2 linked regions of the Drosophila melanogaster genome follow. The protein of the gene in region 2 interacts with the protein of the main gene of each other region in a biochemical or structural test. Each region holds a gene or a part of one and is shown on either strand. Other genes may lie near its edges.

What was found.
Region 1: of the proteins of Galphao (region 2) and loco, one has a biochemical effect on the other in vitro, tested with the Drosophila melanogaster proteins (one study listed by BioGRID).

What each region holds. Positions count from the first base shown.
Region 1 is NT_033777.3:22,634,547-22,641,848, forward strand, and holds the start of loco (locomotion defects), read right to left. Parts: upstream 4,842-7,302; 5' UTR 4,471-4,841; intron 4,402-4,470; 5' UTR 4,394-4,401; coding exon 2,255-4,393; intron 1,911-2,254; exon of another isoform or gene 1,153-1,910; coding exon of another isoform or gene 1,099-1,152; intron 1-1,098. UniProt on the Drosophila melanogaster protein: Acts as a regulator of G protein signaling (RGS).
Region 2 is NT_033778.4:10,434,492-10,442,026, forward strand, and holds the start of Galphao (G protein alpha subunit o), read left to right. Parts: upstream 1-3,493; 5' UTR 3,494-3,615; intron 3,616-3,756; exon of another isoform or gene 3,757-3,860; intron 3,861-3,979; exon of another isoform or gene 3,980-4,001; intron 4,002-4,114; exon of another isoform or gene 4,115-4,246; intron 4,247-4,879; exon of another isoform or gene 4,880-4,883; 5' UTR 4,884-4,954; exon of another isoform or gene 4,955-5,022; coding exon of another isoform or gene 5,023-5,140; intron 5,141-7,535. Other genes in the region: RanBPM (Ran-binding protein M), read left to right, coding at 1-99, 155-294, 427-538, 595-731; CG12895 (uncharacterized protein), read right to left, coding at 2,258-2,528, 2,591-2,772, 2,829-2,846. UniProt on the Drosophila melanogaster protein: Guanine nucleotide-binding proteins (G proteins) are involved as modulators or transducers in various transmembrane signaling systems.

The DNA of each region.
Region 1 (7,302 bases), on a different chromosome or scaffold from region 2:
TCGGCCAGGAAGGAAGCAAAGTAACGTTCATTTAGCGGGTCACTCCGGCTCCTTTCCTTTTTCCCTTTCCTTTTTTGTATATCCTATAGCACGAGGGTTGTTTTCTTTTGCACCTGTGACGGCATGTGCCACTCCACCTTTTTCGTAGGAAAACCACACGGCTTACCGCCAAAATGCCGTCAGACCAGAGTCAACCTGTTGGAACACCCGGCCAACTTAGATATAAAACAAGTCCCCGATTGCGTGTCTATAATATGGCTTAAAAATAAGTCACAAAAGTGCACTTGACATGCTTGCTCATTAGTCGCCAGCTGGCTATCGTTCCCTCGAAATCTTTAGAACACAACTCTTAGTTAGCTTAGAAACAAACGAAATTAAATTAATTTATGTAATTTACGTCCATTAGCATTTCATATATGTACATGCATCACTGTTTTATCAGTTAGAGAAATGATGGATGAGTTTACTAAGTGCTGCATCAATATTTTCATATAGACATGTGTGATTTGATTATCTAAGTGCTAATATTTGAATGTTTCAGATCCCAGACTATATATGTATGTATAATATTCTTAATTTATGATAGTAGTTTTGAGCACTGTCTATTCAAGCAGAGCACACACACTCAAGGTAATAATAATTACCACCTTACCACCAGGTGTCACAGTTTTATGGAACGGCAAACAAAAAGAAACTTTGTTTGCTGATTGCGACCATGAGAAAAGAAATAGAGCATACTATATCAAAGGCGTAAGAACGTGCTGAAATGAGCAAACAAGCAGATTACTAATTCCAAACGATACATAGTGGTTTGCTTTAGTCACTTTTAAGGGGGATTGAAAATAGAGAATTTCGTTATGTAGAAGGGTGAATCGTACACAATTCCCAGCCAGGCATAAAACAAAGTAAATATGTTACCAGTAACGTCAAATTTATTCCACGAGCGATCTTAAACCTCTGCCTAATTACTGACTTATGCATAATAAGAGTTCGATCCCACTGTTTTTTTTTCTGAACTTTTTGAGAAGGGTGTATCATCGATCAAGTGGGCAGCGATAAGTGTGAGATATATCCACAAATCACATATTGTCAGCTTACCTCGATCTCCTTCTCCTCGGAGTACAGGCCACAAACGAGTTCTCGAAATGACATTTTTGCATCGAGCTGATCACTTTTGTTGTTTGCCTGTGCAAAACAATTGCACTTGCAATTTTTTTGTTTGTGTTTTTGTTCTTGCTTTATCGTAATGACAATTTATTTATATTTATTTCAGTCACAACTGCTGACGAAGCTCCTTGAACTGGCGTTGAACTTTTTATGGAGCAACTTTTTCACAGACGGTTATATTATTTATATTTTCATTTTAATATGCCCACATCGTGTACTATGTATTTAGTATAAAACAAATACACGAGGGAACAGCAACTGCACAGCGAGACGAAAGTGAAACCGCCGCAAACGGACGACCGAATCGCACAAAAATCGTACAAAAAAATCGCGTGTTGTCAAATCGAAAATCAAACTAAATTACGAGTACCCGATGTGAATTCTGTGGAGGATTGGGATGTGGGGGCCGATCGGAGGAGCGAAAAGGTCAGTCGACATCGACGCCATTAATTGCTTTAGATTGAATTAAGCTCGAGGCAGAGGAATCGACGGCGGAGGCAGCCGCTCGTGATGGAGCTCCACTGGTGATCGGCTTCAGTCGTGACCTACGCCCATGACGTCATTCGGCTCGGAGCACTTTATTTTTAGCCAGCGACTTCCGCCCTTATCAACCATGACGCGTTCGAATCCCCAAACCGTGATAATACCGATCGGAGCTGCAGTGTAACGGCCTGGACGTAAATAGTAACTAAAATCCGGCGATGTCCGTACCCGAATCGTAGATAACGGAACCGTGGCCACCTATTGCCAAAGCCCAACTGTGACTACCAAAACTCCGGGTAAGCGGACAAAGGAATGCCGATATATGGCCCACCAGACCACTAGAGAGAGAGAAAGAGCCCCTTATCTGTGGGCCCAGAGAGCAGGAGGAGCAGTGTGGGGCGATAAGCTCCGAGAACGCAGGTAACTTGGAGCGGCGTCCAGGTAAACAGATTTCTGCCCGCGCACAGGAGCGGTTCACATAAGCCGAGGGTTGTATGGGTTAGATTTGATATAAAATGCACTTATGATTATATTATAGGTATTCCCAATCATTTCAAAAACTTATGATACATGTAGGATAAACAAAAGGATATGCTCCACTTACCCCCAAATCAGGTTCACTGTTCGTAGCTTCTAAAAGGCAGTGGGAGGACGAGGAAGCGGACATGCTGGTCCGATCCTTGTGCGATTTGTGCAGATTCTGCAGGCTGGCCCACGTGTCCATGGTCTGATCCATACATGCACCACTGACCGACGACTGCACACTGTCGATGGCTTCGAAGCCCAGCGAATGACGCGAGCCAGGTTGACCAAATACCTGGGCACTCAGCTTGTGTGGCGTTGTTGGCGTCTCCAGAGCCAACGATCTGCGCATCTTGCGGGGCACACACGCTGGATGGGCAAACGTGTGGCCCTCATCGAGCGATGGAGCAGCCGAGTGCAGCGAAATGTCATCCATAGAGGCCACGGCAGCCAAAGTGCGCGGTGAATCGTCGACAAAAAGATTAAGGACATCATCACAGGAGCGGGTGGATGTGAGATTCGTGGCGGGACTTTGGATCAGATTGAAGCTGGCCAGGAGATTGGGTCGACGAAGCGAAGAGCTCGCTGGCGGCGATCTTAGCAGGGCGGAATGATCGGGCATGGCCCGCACAGTCAGTCGATTATCCGGTATTCCCACTATGCCCAGTGGACGAGCAGGAGCTGGATAAGTTGGTGGTCCTGCATGTGCCGCCGCCGCTGCTCCCGCTCCTGCAGCTAGGAAGTCCACAACCAGAATGCGATCCGAAATATTCGTACAATCGTTGTTGAAGCCAATGCCCGAATCCGAATTGGACGTGGTGGTGGAGATCTCGCTGTGGTTCGATGGCTGCGGCGAGTGGGCAGCTGCTACTGCTCCTCCAGCTGCGGCGGCTCCTGCACCCGCCTCATAGTCTGCCTGATGACTCCGACTTGCCGGTGGGAGAATCCGCATGGTATACATGCTGCGCACGAGATTCACCACATATTCCGAGTTGTTAGGGAACTCGAGACACAAATTCGAGATCGGATCCCGGGTGCACTGCAGGCGGAACTCGTGGGCCCGCTGCAAATGCTGTGCATGTTCGATCAGCTTGGTGTCGATGACGAAGACATGGCAGCTGTGCGAGATACTGATGTGACCAGCAGCTGCTGCGCTGCCAGCGCTCGGCTCGTACTCCTCCTCGATCTGTGTGTTGTGCACGGCGCTAGTGACCAGACCAAAGAATCGATTCTCGCTCTCCGACGAAGAGCTCACGAAGTTCAGCCTGGCCGAGGAGTAGGTGGCCAGCACTCCGCCGCTGGAACTCTGCAGGCTCAAGCTGTCCGGCGTGATGCACATCAGCACAATGGTGGGCTGTCGCTTCTCCTGTCTCAGTTTTCGAATGCAAGATCGAACTGTCTGCAGCTTGGAACTATGCGAGATCTGCTTGGGCATCTCGATGGTTCCCAGATAGCCAACAATAACACGGCACTCCAGTGCAGCACTGCCCACAGCTCGCACCATGGCACTTACATTGGCCACATCCGCTGCTTTGGATAGATTGGCTGTCAGAGGCGGATCCTCCAGAACGGGTTTTAATGTAGGGTGATCGGGTGATGACTTTGATTTGTGCGGTTCCACTGCCTCTGGTGGGTTTAGCTTCTTTTGTGGCGAGTTGCGCAATCTGTGCAGTTTGGCTTTGTGGTGTAGAAACCTGGGCTTGTGCCTCAAACTGGCTGCCAACAATTGACCCCTCAGCGTGGCATGGGCGTTCTCCTCATCCGAGCTGTCGGAATAATAATTCTCGGCGATCTGCATGCGAATACTGCCAAAGGAGTTGCCAATGAGCTGCACCACTGTTTCGTGTGGCAACTTGGAGACATTTAGACCGTTGACCGATATGAGGAAGTCACCGGAACGCAGGCCAGCTTGCTCGGCAGGTGAGCTGCTGATGATGCAAGACAGCCGACATGGTTGCTGCCCGGAAATGGTGAAACCGAAGCCATTGTAACCACGTCGCACTTCCACGGTGCGGATGCCATTGTAGTTGTAGTTGGCTCGCTTCTTGCGACGTCGCTGATGCTGCTGGCTGTTGGATCCCGAAGGCGTGGTTGAGGTGCTTATGGGGGCGGGCCCACTATTCGCAGCAGGTGATGCATCCTCCGCTGCAGCTGCTCCCGTTCCCACGGCTGTGGAGCCACTTGCTCCGGTTATGGGCAAAGGCGGATGATGGTGGTGCATGGCGCTTACTGTGTGGAGAAAACGAATGATGAGGAGTACTGGCCAATCTTAACCCACATCTGGACATTTGTACGCACCTTTCTCATGGATGGAAGCTGCAACCTGGATTTCTGGAAATGGAATGCGGTTTCTGTTGCGCCCCTTTTTGGATGATGCCCCCTCTCGCTCGCACCCGTGCGTCGCCTATGCCAACTATGTAATCAATGGCACACACACATGCGCACCAATGGCCAGGCGTATTTTGTTACACTTTTCTAGGCCTCTAATTAATTGATAACTAACTCTTCTTTGGGTGCTACCTCATATTCACGCGGTTAATAACATCGTTGTAACTTTATCAGGCATATTTGTAGCAATTAATTGTGTGTAAATCGGTAATTAAAATTATGTCTACAATGCGCAAGCGTAACTATGATTAGAGATGGAACACACTAAAATGTTTACTCGATACTATCGATATTACATACCTTTTGTGAAACATCGATCACTTTGACACACCATATTTTTAGTAATTACTGTTAAAGTTTTGCAGAATGTCAACAATTTTTAACAAGCAGTTCTAGAGAAAATTTGATTTGTTCAAATATTGAAGGCATTGACCATTGATAGAAAAACGATATTTACAAATTTGAATTAGATAAAAACAGGGCTGCCAGACTCATTGAAATTTATGAAGCAATCGTTGCCACACTGGGCTGACCTTCGTTGCATAGCAACGAACTTTTGTCACATCCCACTGCCGTCAGTTACTTTTCGATTTAAATAAAAGCTCCGAACGCTCGTCCTTTAAAGTCCTTCCGGTGAGCTTACATCTGCGTAGCGTGTTATTTGTGTTTGGCCCACGCCGTTTCAGTTACATTGGGACTTTCAAACGCATTGGTTGAACGCGCGCACCCAGAACCGCTGTTGAATTAGTTTTTGAACCCGAAAACAGCAGTTAAATTGCTCGAGTGAAATGTAAAATGTTATTGGTAAACGGATCGAAGTGTTCGAAGTTCTAACGCTGAAATGTTTAAGGATTATCCGTAGCAAGACCTGCAGAAGTGACCCCAGTCAGCCAGTGTTGAACCAATTGAAATGTTGGCAAGGACATTACGGACAAAGAATAGAAAGCCAATAGAAAGCAATGGGGGTGGGATGTTGCGGAAACGGAAGTGCCAAATTGAAATGCCATTTAAGCCAGGCGAGCGATTTGCCCGTCTTCGTTTACGGCTCATCCGGATTCGTCTGCGTCTGGTCAGGGCACTCAGATTTCTTGCGGGGAATGGATTCGAGAGCGCGGCAAGTGCGATCCCCAGACGACACTTGGCGTCGCTCTTGACATTGATTATATTCATGAGACCAAGTCATAAATTCCAGCCCGACTGTTTACGAGGATTCTAACACCAATCCGCTGTCCCCGATTCCCGGTCTCTGCCCAAAGATGTGGCCAAGTTGCGACTGGAGTGCCAATAAAATCATTAACTGTTGCAGCGCATTAAATTCATGGCCCAGACGATGCTGCCGCGCTATTCAGGCAGCAAACATTGTCATAAAACCTCGGCCCATTCACGCCATATTTCATTTCATCTCCTCATCTCCATCTACCTCACATCCATCTACCTCACATCCTAATTGCCGAAGGTCCTGAGTCCCGTGGGCGTGTGAAAAACTATTAAAAGGCCGTTGGGCCGTGCATCGTGGGCCCATAATTAATGGCGACAATGACTTGATCGGCCGATAATTAATTTATCGTCATTTATATTGCCAAACTGACTCGACGCGCACATACTATATATGTGCTATATACATGGTTACCAAAACGGTTGGCGATCCCATGGGAGCTCGTAAATTGTCCAGAAGTCTAGTTCCTACTTCACTTTAATTTCTTGGCTAGCGAAAGTTTTCTTTTCAACTAAGCCCAAGTAAGTTTCAGTTGGTTCTATTGTATTATTTTGGCACATGCTTCATTCCTGCTCGCCTCTCACATAGTTTTGGCCACAAATTAGTTTGGCAGTGGATTTTGTTAGCCACTAGGAGATGCCGAGCATTTTGCATTCCCATACCAACCGACTTTTCGCCTGTTTTGTCCAACTATTTTGCTGCTGAAAGTTGGCAGGAAAAGTTTCTCAATTGCGACGAAGAAATCAATTGGAAATGATTGAAACCTAATTTCCCAAATGGACTGAATACATAAATCAATAAATTATGTCCCCTCGAAGATGGGAATCGACGGAAGCACCTCAGTCATTACCGAAAGTTTAATGTATTTAAGGGTTAATAATATCGATCGAACTGATTTTTGATTGATGAATGTCCTGTGAATTTATTAATGTCACCATTGTTTGCTAAGTGTTTTGTTATTTGATTATAATTGGGGCTCATGAAAGCATTTCATTGGATCGTATATTAAAGAATATTATTAATATACAGTAATAAAATGGAAAACTTTGATTGAATTTTTTCCATATATGTACAAAAGTGTCAAAGTTCACTGCTCGCATTCATGTTTGTGTGTGCTCAAATGGTAAATCTGACCAATGTCATCAATATTTCAACAAAAAAGTAAATATTTTCGCTTCACTGAATCGCAGTGAACCGTAAAGAGCAGTAAAACTATGCTGATAGCAAGCTTTGTGTCTATGACATCCAGCTGCACCTGATGAAAATCCGCCATTCTATCCGCTTAGGGATTTAATTCGTAAACGTCTCACTGGAAAATTAATAGGAAAATACGCAATTTTCACTGGAATGCCAACTTTCACCCCTGACATCTTAGAATATACTCTTTTTTTTTTTTGTGGCATTATCATACCCACACTTTTTGTGGGTCCTAAGTCGCCGTCCTTGTCGCGATTTCGGAAATTGTTTTTACCCACATTTCATTTGTTTCCCAAACTTTCTGCATTGCGCGAGCGCCAAAAAAGCAA
Region 2 (7,535 bases):
TGGAGCCCTGCCAGAGTCACTCCAACGGCGGCGACTCGAGCTCCAATGGCAATGCCAGCGCAGTGCGCAACTCTCTAGATGCCATCGACGAGGAAATGGGTATGTATCTATTGGCGGCATTTCCGGGAAGATCCGTAATCCCTAGCACTTGCAGATGTAGATGTTTCCCCCTCATCGCGTAACTGTGGTCGTGTGATCGAGAAGATCCTTGAGTTCGGCAAGGAACTGTCCAGCATGGGCCAGCAGCTGGAGAAGGAGAACCTAATGACTGAAGAGGAGCGTCAAATGTTGGAGGTAAACTATAAAAATGTATAAACAATAGAAACTGGTATCTTGCAGACTAAGCACTCTTTGTATTTGAAAAATAACTTCAATAAGAATATGATTATCCGTAATCGAGAGATATTCAATTTATGGTTGTTACAGGATGCATTTAGTCTGATTGCCTACTCTAATCCTTGGTCCAGTCCGCTGGGCTGGTTGCTGTGTCCCTCGCGACGTGAGAGTGTTTCCACCACACTCAACTCGGCCATATTGGGTAAGTCTTTAAACACTTGTCTCGAAACGAAGTTACTAATTACTATGATTATGCAGAGTCCCTGAACTTCGAGCGTCGTCCGCCGCTGGAATACCTGGTGGCTCACGCCTCGGAGCTGATCAAGGTGATCGGACAGCACTCGCTGGGCGAGGACGCTTTCATTACCATCGACGATGTGTTCCCGCAAAATTGACCCAGTTCCCCGACGCTGCTGAAGATGTTCGAGACCACGCTGACCCTGCCGCGAACCAGTGTGCTTACGGAACCGTTGGGCAGCGCCGGAACCGGATCTGGGCCCTCCACATCAACGGCTGCCGTGGCAGTTCAGACCAGCAAACGACGCCGAAGGCGGCGTAACAAACGTCGCCGCAAATCCTCCCTGTCCAGCAATACCGATGCCCCGTCGTCGCGGACCTACGATCCCGTGATGACGGGCAGTACGCTCCGGTCGGCAGCTGTGGCATCGGTGGGCGGGGGCACGGGCACGGGACCAGTGCGTCGGGGTCGTCGCAGGAGCGGGGTCAGCTCATCTTCATCGGCGGCAGCGGCTGCAGCAGCGGCAGCGGAGGAGGAGGCGGAAGAAGCGGAAGCGGAGGCGGCTCGCCAGGAGGAGGAGGAAGCGGAAATCTTGAGCGGAAACAGCAGCCCATCGATGTTCGTCGATCCGCAGGACTTCTTCGAGACACTGGACTAAATTTAGATTATTTACAATTTGCAGTAGGTTAAATTTTGTTGTTACTTCCGTTCTCTTTCTTTTTTACCTGCGCAACCGGCTTCAGTGCGCCTATTTAAAACTAATCGCCGTTCTTTTAATTGTTCGATTATGCTAAAGATGCTATGCGTTTGGCGGCCTTTGATTTGGCGTGATTTTTAATAACTTTTAACATATATTTTATATAGCCTCTCTAAGCATAAAGTGTGTAATATTATGATGTATAATTAAATTTGCGAAATGTGCTGCGACACGACCCTTGAAATTGAATTAGCCCTTTGTTTTTCGCTTCCACCGCCCGAAACACAACAATCACACACCAAAATATAATCTAGAATTGATAGTGAAGGGACTAGCCTGGAGCAAAAGCTGTTCAATCATCTCCTTAGCATGTTAATATAGAACCGAATCCATAGTTAACTGGTAGACATTCGCGTTTTAATTCTCCGTGTTTTCAGCGATTTTCGATGGACTCCGCGCCATCCCGTGTCTTGTGGCAAGACTAAGCAAAAGCAAATGAACATTTTAAGTGTAATGTTTCGCTATAGTGTTTAAGCGTATTAAAATTTAATCTATATATACAAGATTGGTCATACACACATTCGGCAAACATGAATAGAATTTAACTGGATAATCGTTTAAATATATTGTATGGATGTGTATTTCAGGAAAGCGAGAACTGTGTTTTAAAGGGGGTTCAAATTGGATTAAATATATGCCATTCTGACAATGTGTTCAGTTTTATATATTAAAATTGTATCTTTTCAAATGTCATGATTTGTTGATTAAGCTGAAGTTTTCAACAAATAAAAATAAAAATGAAAGCACATTCAAATTACCAAATCACTTGCAACCGTATTATTTATTATTCCGTATAAATGATCGTTTTTAAATACCAGGTAAAATGCAAGTTCAAGTCATTGGTCTTTTAAGGATCAGGAGTAGAATAACACATTCATTTAATACATTGTTTTGTATGCTTATATATATAATATAGTTTATAATGTTCACAAATCCGGCTGCCTTATCCTTTGCACTTTTTCATGATTTTTGACGTGCTCCTTTAGCAGACGCATTATTTCGGTATCGAATTGAGGAGGTGTTGGCTTGGTATCGGTGGCCCAGTAGAATATATCCCAGTCGTTGCTGACACCATTGATCAACTGATCGTACTCGGCGGTCTGCTCGGCATTGAAGTCCTTCAAATGCTTGGCCACAAAAGTGCTCAGCAAGAGATCGTTTTCCAGCATTCCGCGTTTCCTGCTTTGATACAAAAGGCTGCACAAGATAATGAATGATCATAAGTAGGAGTTTGGGATATTTTCATTTTAAGCGTATACCGCTGCTTGCGAGTTTCCAGCGGCTCATCGGGACGGACAGGATATTCCGGAACTGGCAAATGCGGCGGATCATCGTAGTCCACAATTTCCCCGGGTGTTGTGTACTCAGTTTTGTCCAAATTGCTGGCGAGGCGACTTTGGGCCATCATAGGTAGTTGCAGGCGACGGCCTACCGTAGATACCTGTGTCCAATTAAGCAATCAATTATATTTTACTACATTTGGGGCCATAAACTTACTATAAATTGCCGCAACATTTTAGGAAACGACCAAAACAATGATATAACGACAGTGTTGGCTAAGAAAGTTAAGTATAATCGATAGATTCCTGCTATAATAATCGGCTGTTGCTATAAATAGTGCTGGAAAGTGCACACTTTGTTGAATTAATCATTTATTTTATTTAACCGTTCAAACCTCAGGCGAATTTAAATTAAAATAGTTGTTTTATTTTAAATATGAATATATTTGGGAGAATATGCACTGCAATTGTTATGAAAGGTATGCGAATTTTTAATAATTATTTGCAATAATATAAATAAAAAATATATCTCTATTTGTATCACTTAAAGCTCAAATATTGTATTCATGAGATCCTTTTGAGTGGCCTGCTATTTAAAATCCAGATAAGTTTCAAAACATAATAAAAAAATAAATGTCTGTACATACAAAGTGATGCAAAATATTTATTGAAACTAAAGTGAGCATGTTCTTTCATATTTATATAAAACATTTTATTAAATTATATGTATATAAATAGCGGAAGATTTTAACAAATTTAAATTTTTAAATATAAGCTTGTTTTGCAGCAGCTGTTGTTGCGGCCAGTGCTGGTCAACAGCCACCCCCGCCGCGTCCAGTGCTGCGCACCGACGCCGCCAACAGCTGTTCGAACGCCTCGCTCTGCAGTTGGAAAGAGCGAACGAAGCGAGAGAGAGCAGCTAAATTTTCGCACACCAGAAAAGTGCAATTTACCAATATCACTGCGGCCAAAAATACAAGTGCAAGTGCTCGGCAAGTGCAACGGTAAACTATCACGATCGGTGCAATAAATACAGCGAGTCGCGAAAAAGAAGCGCAAAGCGAACGGAACCAATAAGAACAGCCAAACGCAAAAGAGAGCCTCCTGCACACACACGCACACAGCAGGCTGAAGCAGACCCACACACACGCATACACTAGTGCGGTGTGTATACGACTGGAAAACTAGGCGGTGGTAAATGTGAAGCTGAAAAAAGCTGAAAAAAAGGAAAAGGAAAACTCGTGGGGTGGTGGGTGGCGGCCCAGTGGGCGGGGGGTGTGGCGTGTGCAGCGCGTGAGAGTGCGTAGTGCGTGCGTGTGAGTGAGTGAGTGTGTGCGCGCGTGTGAGTGAAACAGCGACAAACTAAATGAAAATTTATACATCCGAAATGGTTAACAGTTTGCATAAAAACGGCATTACTTTTTGCATATGTTAATGTGCTTAGGCAAACGCTCGAAAAAGAAAACTCCACAACCCACCGCCTTTTTTTCCACCAACCCGGCGCTTTTTTAGCGCCTACGCCCACGCTTAATACATACACACTGCATAAAAAACATACAAATAAAACCAAAAAAAAAAAAAAACAAACAAAATTTATAAAAGTTTTATTAAAAGTGTGACAACAAAAAATAAGTGGTATCCAAAAAATAAGCTTGAGTTTTTGGCTCTTTGACCTCGAGACTAATTCACTTACATGATAAATTACCATCGTTCTTATCGCGATCCAGCATTATCTGATGGATTTATCTTATCAGCGCGATTGATGAATTTTGTATCGATATCGCAAACATGCTCCATATGCAAATTAGCTGGCTATCATTGCTTTTATTTTTACTTTGCGTCTGCTGATAAAAAACAAAAGCAACATAATTGATACAGTGCGCGGCCCATTGCACAGACAGTGGCGGTCATAAAATTAGTGCTTGTCTCAGTACAGTACAACATCCATAGAGCGAACGATGTGTTCCATAAACCTTGTAACATCAGTTTAAAATAATCTTTTTAACTATTACATACAAATTAATATACAGCTGTGTTTCTCATAATAGTTGAGTAACAGAAAGAATATTACAATTACAATTACAATTTGTGTTTATACACAGCAGACAAAATTAATTTAAGATAACTCAACATTATTATTTTGAACTCGGCTGTATATTTAACACATCCTTGATATTCATTGGTTCGCCTTATCGATCGCGCACTGTTTATAGTGAATCATCCGCTGACCCGTGTATTTGTTATTGTTGATGGGTTCAATACTCCATTTCAGTTGAAATCGTTAAACTGTACATAAGCAAATAAGACATAAAGAAAAAAGTCCAGGAAAATTGGAAAACAAAAGCCCGAAAACCGAAAAGCCCCGTGTAAATCCGAATCCGAATCCAAATCAGTATCCAAACCCAACCACAATGGGCTGCACCACATCCGCCGAAGAACGCGCCGCCATCCAGCGATCCAAACAGATCGAGAAGAATCTAAAGGAGGATGGAATCCAGGCGGCCAAGGACATCAAGCTCCTGCTGCTGGGTAAGTGCACTTTTCGTCGCTTTTTCTCGTTTTTCCACTTGGGTTTTTCTCACCGGAAATGGAAATCCTGCTCAGCGTTTACCTTTCCACTCGACTCGACTCTATTGTTCGTTCTATTTTGGTGGAAATTGCTGGTTTATCTATCGGCCGCCAGATTCCGGGGCACTTGGAAAATTTTATTTTCGGTTTTATGTGCCGATAGATAGGGGGATATTTATTGCACACACTTTTACTCTGCGGCGGAAATGCTGGATGTACTGGACGCAATTTTGGATTAGCTGCTCTTCAATTTCCATCAAGGCTTATATCAGAGTTCACATTTTTTAGAAGATTCAAAGACTGGAATAAAAGTAAATTCAAAAACTATGATTTTTGTATGTACTGACTGGTTATTTAAATTAAATGTAATGACTTGTTGCCCCACAAAAGGAATCGAACTCAAGGTTATTCCACTCTATTTGAGTGCTGATGAATCGATTCCATGACAAAACTATTTTTAGCGTGTTTTTTTTGGCCAAGGCGAAACCGAAGTAATTTGGGTCAACTTTTGGGTGTTGCATGTGGCATGGATATCCGAAAATAAAATGGACTCATGCACCACTGTGCATGCAACATCTTAGACAATGGCAGCAGCAACAGTTGCATCCGCCCTCGTGGCAGGCGAGTGTGAAAACCTAAACAGTTTCGAGGAGCCATGTGGCCTGCGGATGACTCGGTCCGATTAAAGTGGTTTCAGTACCAAACAGTTCGATAGTGATGAAATAATTACAATGTTTTTAAAAAATATATAAAATAATGACTAGAATTAGCCAAATCTAAGAAAACAGTGCAAATTATCTGAACATAGCTTAAGAATTTAAAGATGCTAAAAAATCATCATGTAGATATTGTCTTTGCTGTCATCTCTATCCTGCATCAGCCTGAATCTCATCGTCGAGTGCATCTGTGAGCTGCAGCTGCAGCCTTAGCCTTAGCCTTAGATTTTGTCCAAGTGCGTCTGCATCCGCCAAAAGATGAGGGCAATCGACGCCACTTGACATTGAAACAATTGCACGTGTGTGCCAGTGGGCGGGTGTGCACCATGTAGCATGGTTTCGAGGTGCAGTGTTTGTTAACCTGGTTGCGCCACTGACACCGAAATGTCAGTTAATCCCATTGACTTTGACTTGCCCCCGAAAACGAGATAGGGATGCAGTCAGGCAGAAAAAGGACAAAGCTGCAATATGCACGGGAATTTCTCTTTCACTTTAACATTGTACACAAACATGTTGCGAAAAACAAGCAAAATCTCCATATCGTGGATGCACTTAAAGCAGCATTCAAACAAACCAAAAGTTAAAGATATAAAGTTTACAAAACATTTAATGCTTAAACCAAAAATAAACCAGATCAAAGTACTTCTTATATGACTTAGTTAAGATAGATGCCTTTTTTTTTTTTTGGAACAAGTTTCTCAAGTTAATACATATTCCCCTGCTCTGTAACCCGTTTTTGTTTGCTGTGTAGGCCCATTACTTCCCACACAGTTGCTCGCTGTTGTTCTGTGCAATCAGGCAAAACTTTTAAACGCCCTAACAAGCAACAAGGAGCAGAGTCGAGTAGCGAGGAGTGCCGAGGAGGGAGTGTATTGCAGCCATGTTGCAACATTGAAAGTGCGACGGTATGGGCGATTCTCTCTGCAGGGGGTGGTGCCCAGAAGCCGGAGTCGGGGGCAGGTCGAGGGGCAGACGAATGGCAGGCGGAAGCATCGAATGGCGGCCAGGAAACACTAACGAAACAATGGACACAGCGGCACCGGACGGAAGGGAGCGAGAGGAAACGTGTACATGTCCTGGGTGTGGCTGCATACTTCACCACAGCACTGTGCCTCTCGAGTGGCGCCTCCTGGCGGAAGTTTGAAGAAACCGCCACTTGAGGCATAATTTTCAAGCCGAAAGGAAAGGCTATTGAGGAAACGTTCGATGCTCGTTTGTTTGCCACTTTGCCGGCCCTTGTGCCGTCGAGTGATATGGCTACGTGAAACAATCAAGAAACAATTGCTAACTCAAACTGACTAGTTGGCAAATAAACGTCGTAGAAGTTTCATTTTTGTAAAACCCCAACATTCCTAGATAGATAAGAACAAAAACTATTAGTTCTTTGGTAGAATTTTAAATAATTATTATGAGTTAAAAAAGATAAGACTCTATGTTTATGAACTCGAAAAGAATTTTGTTTTATCTTTTCCAATGATAAAAAATAATAACCATATTCCAATCAGAAGAACGTTACAAGTTTAAATATTTTTTAAAGTTATAGTTTATATACGAGTTTTTTATATAGTGGAATTTTTACTTTAATTCGTCTGAAAAAGTGCGTAACATCTTAAATATATTTATTGCGATCTGGAGAATAT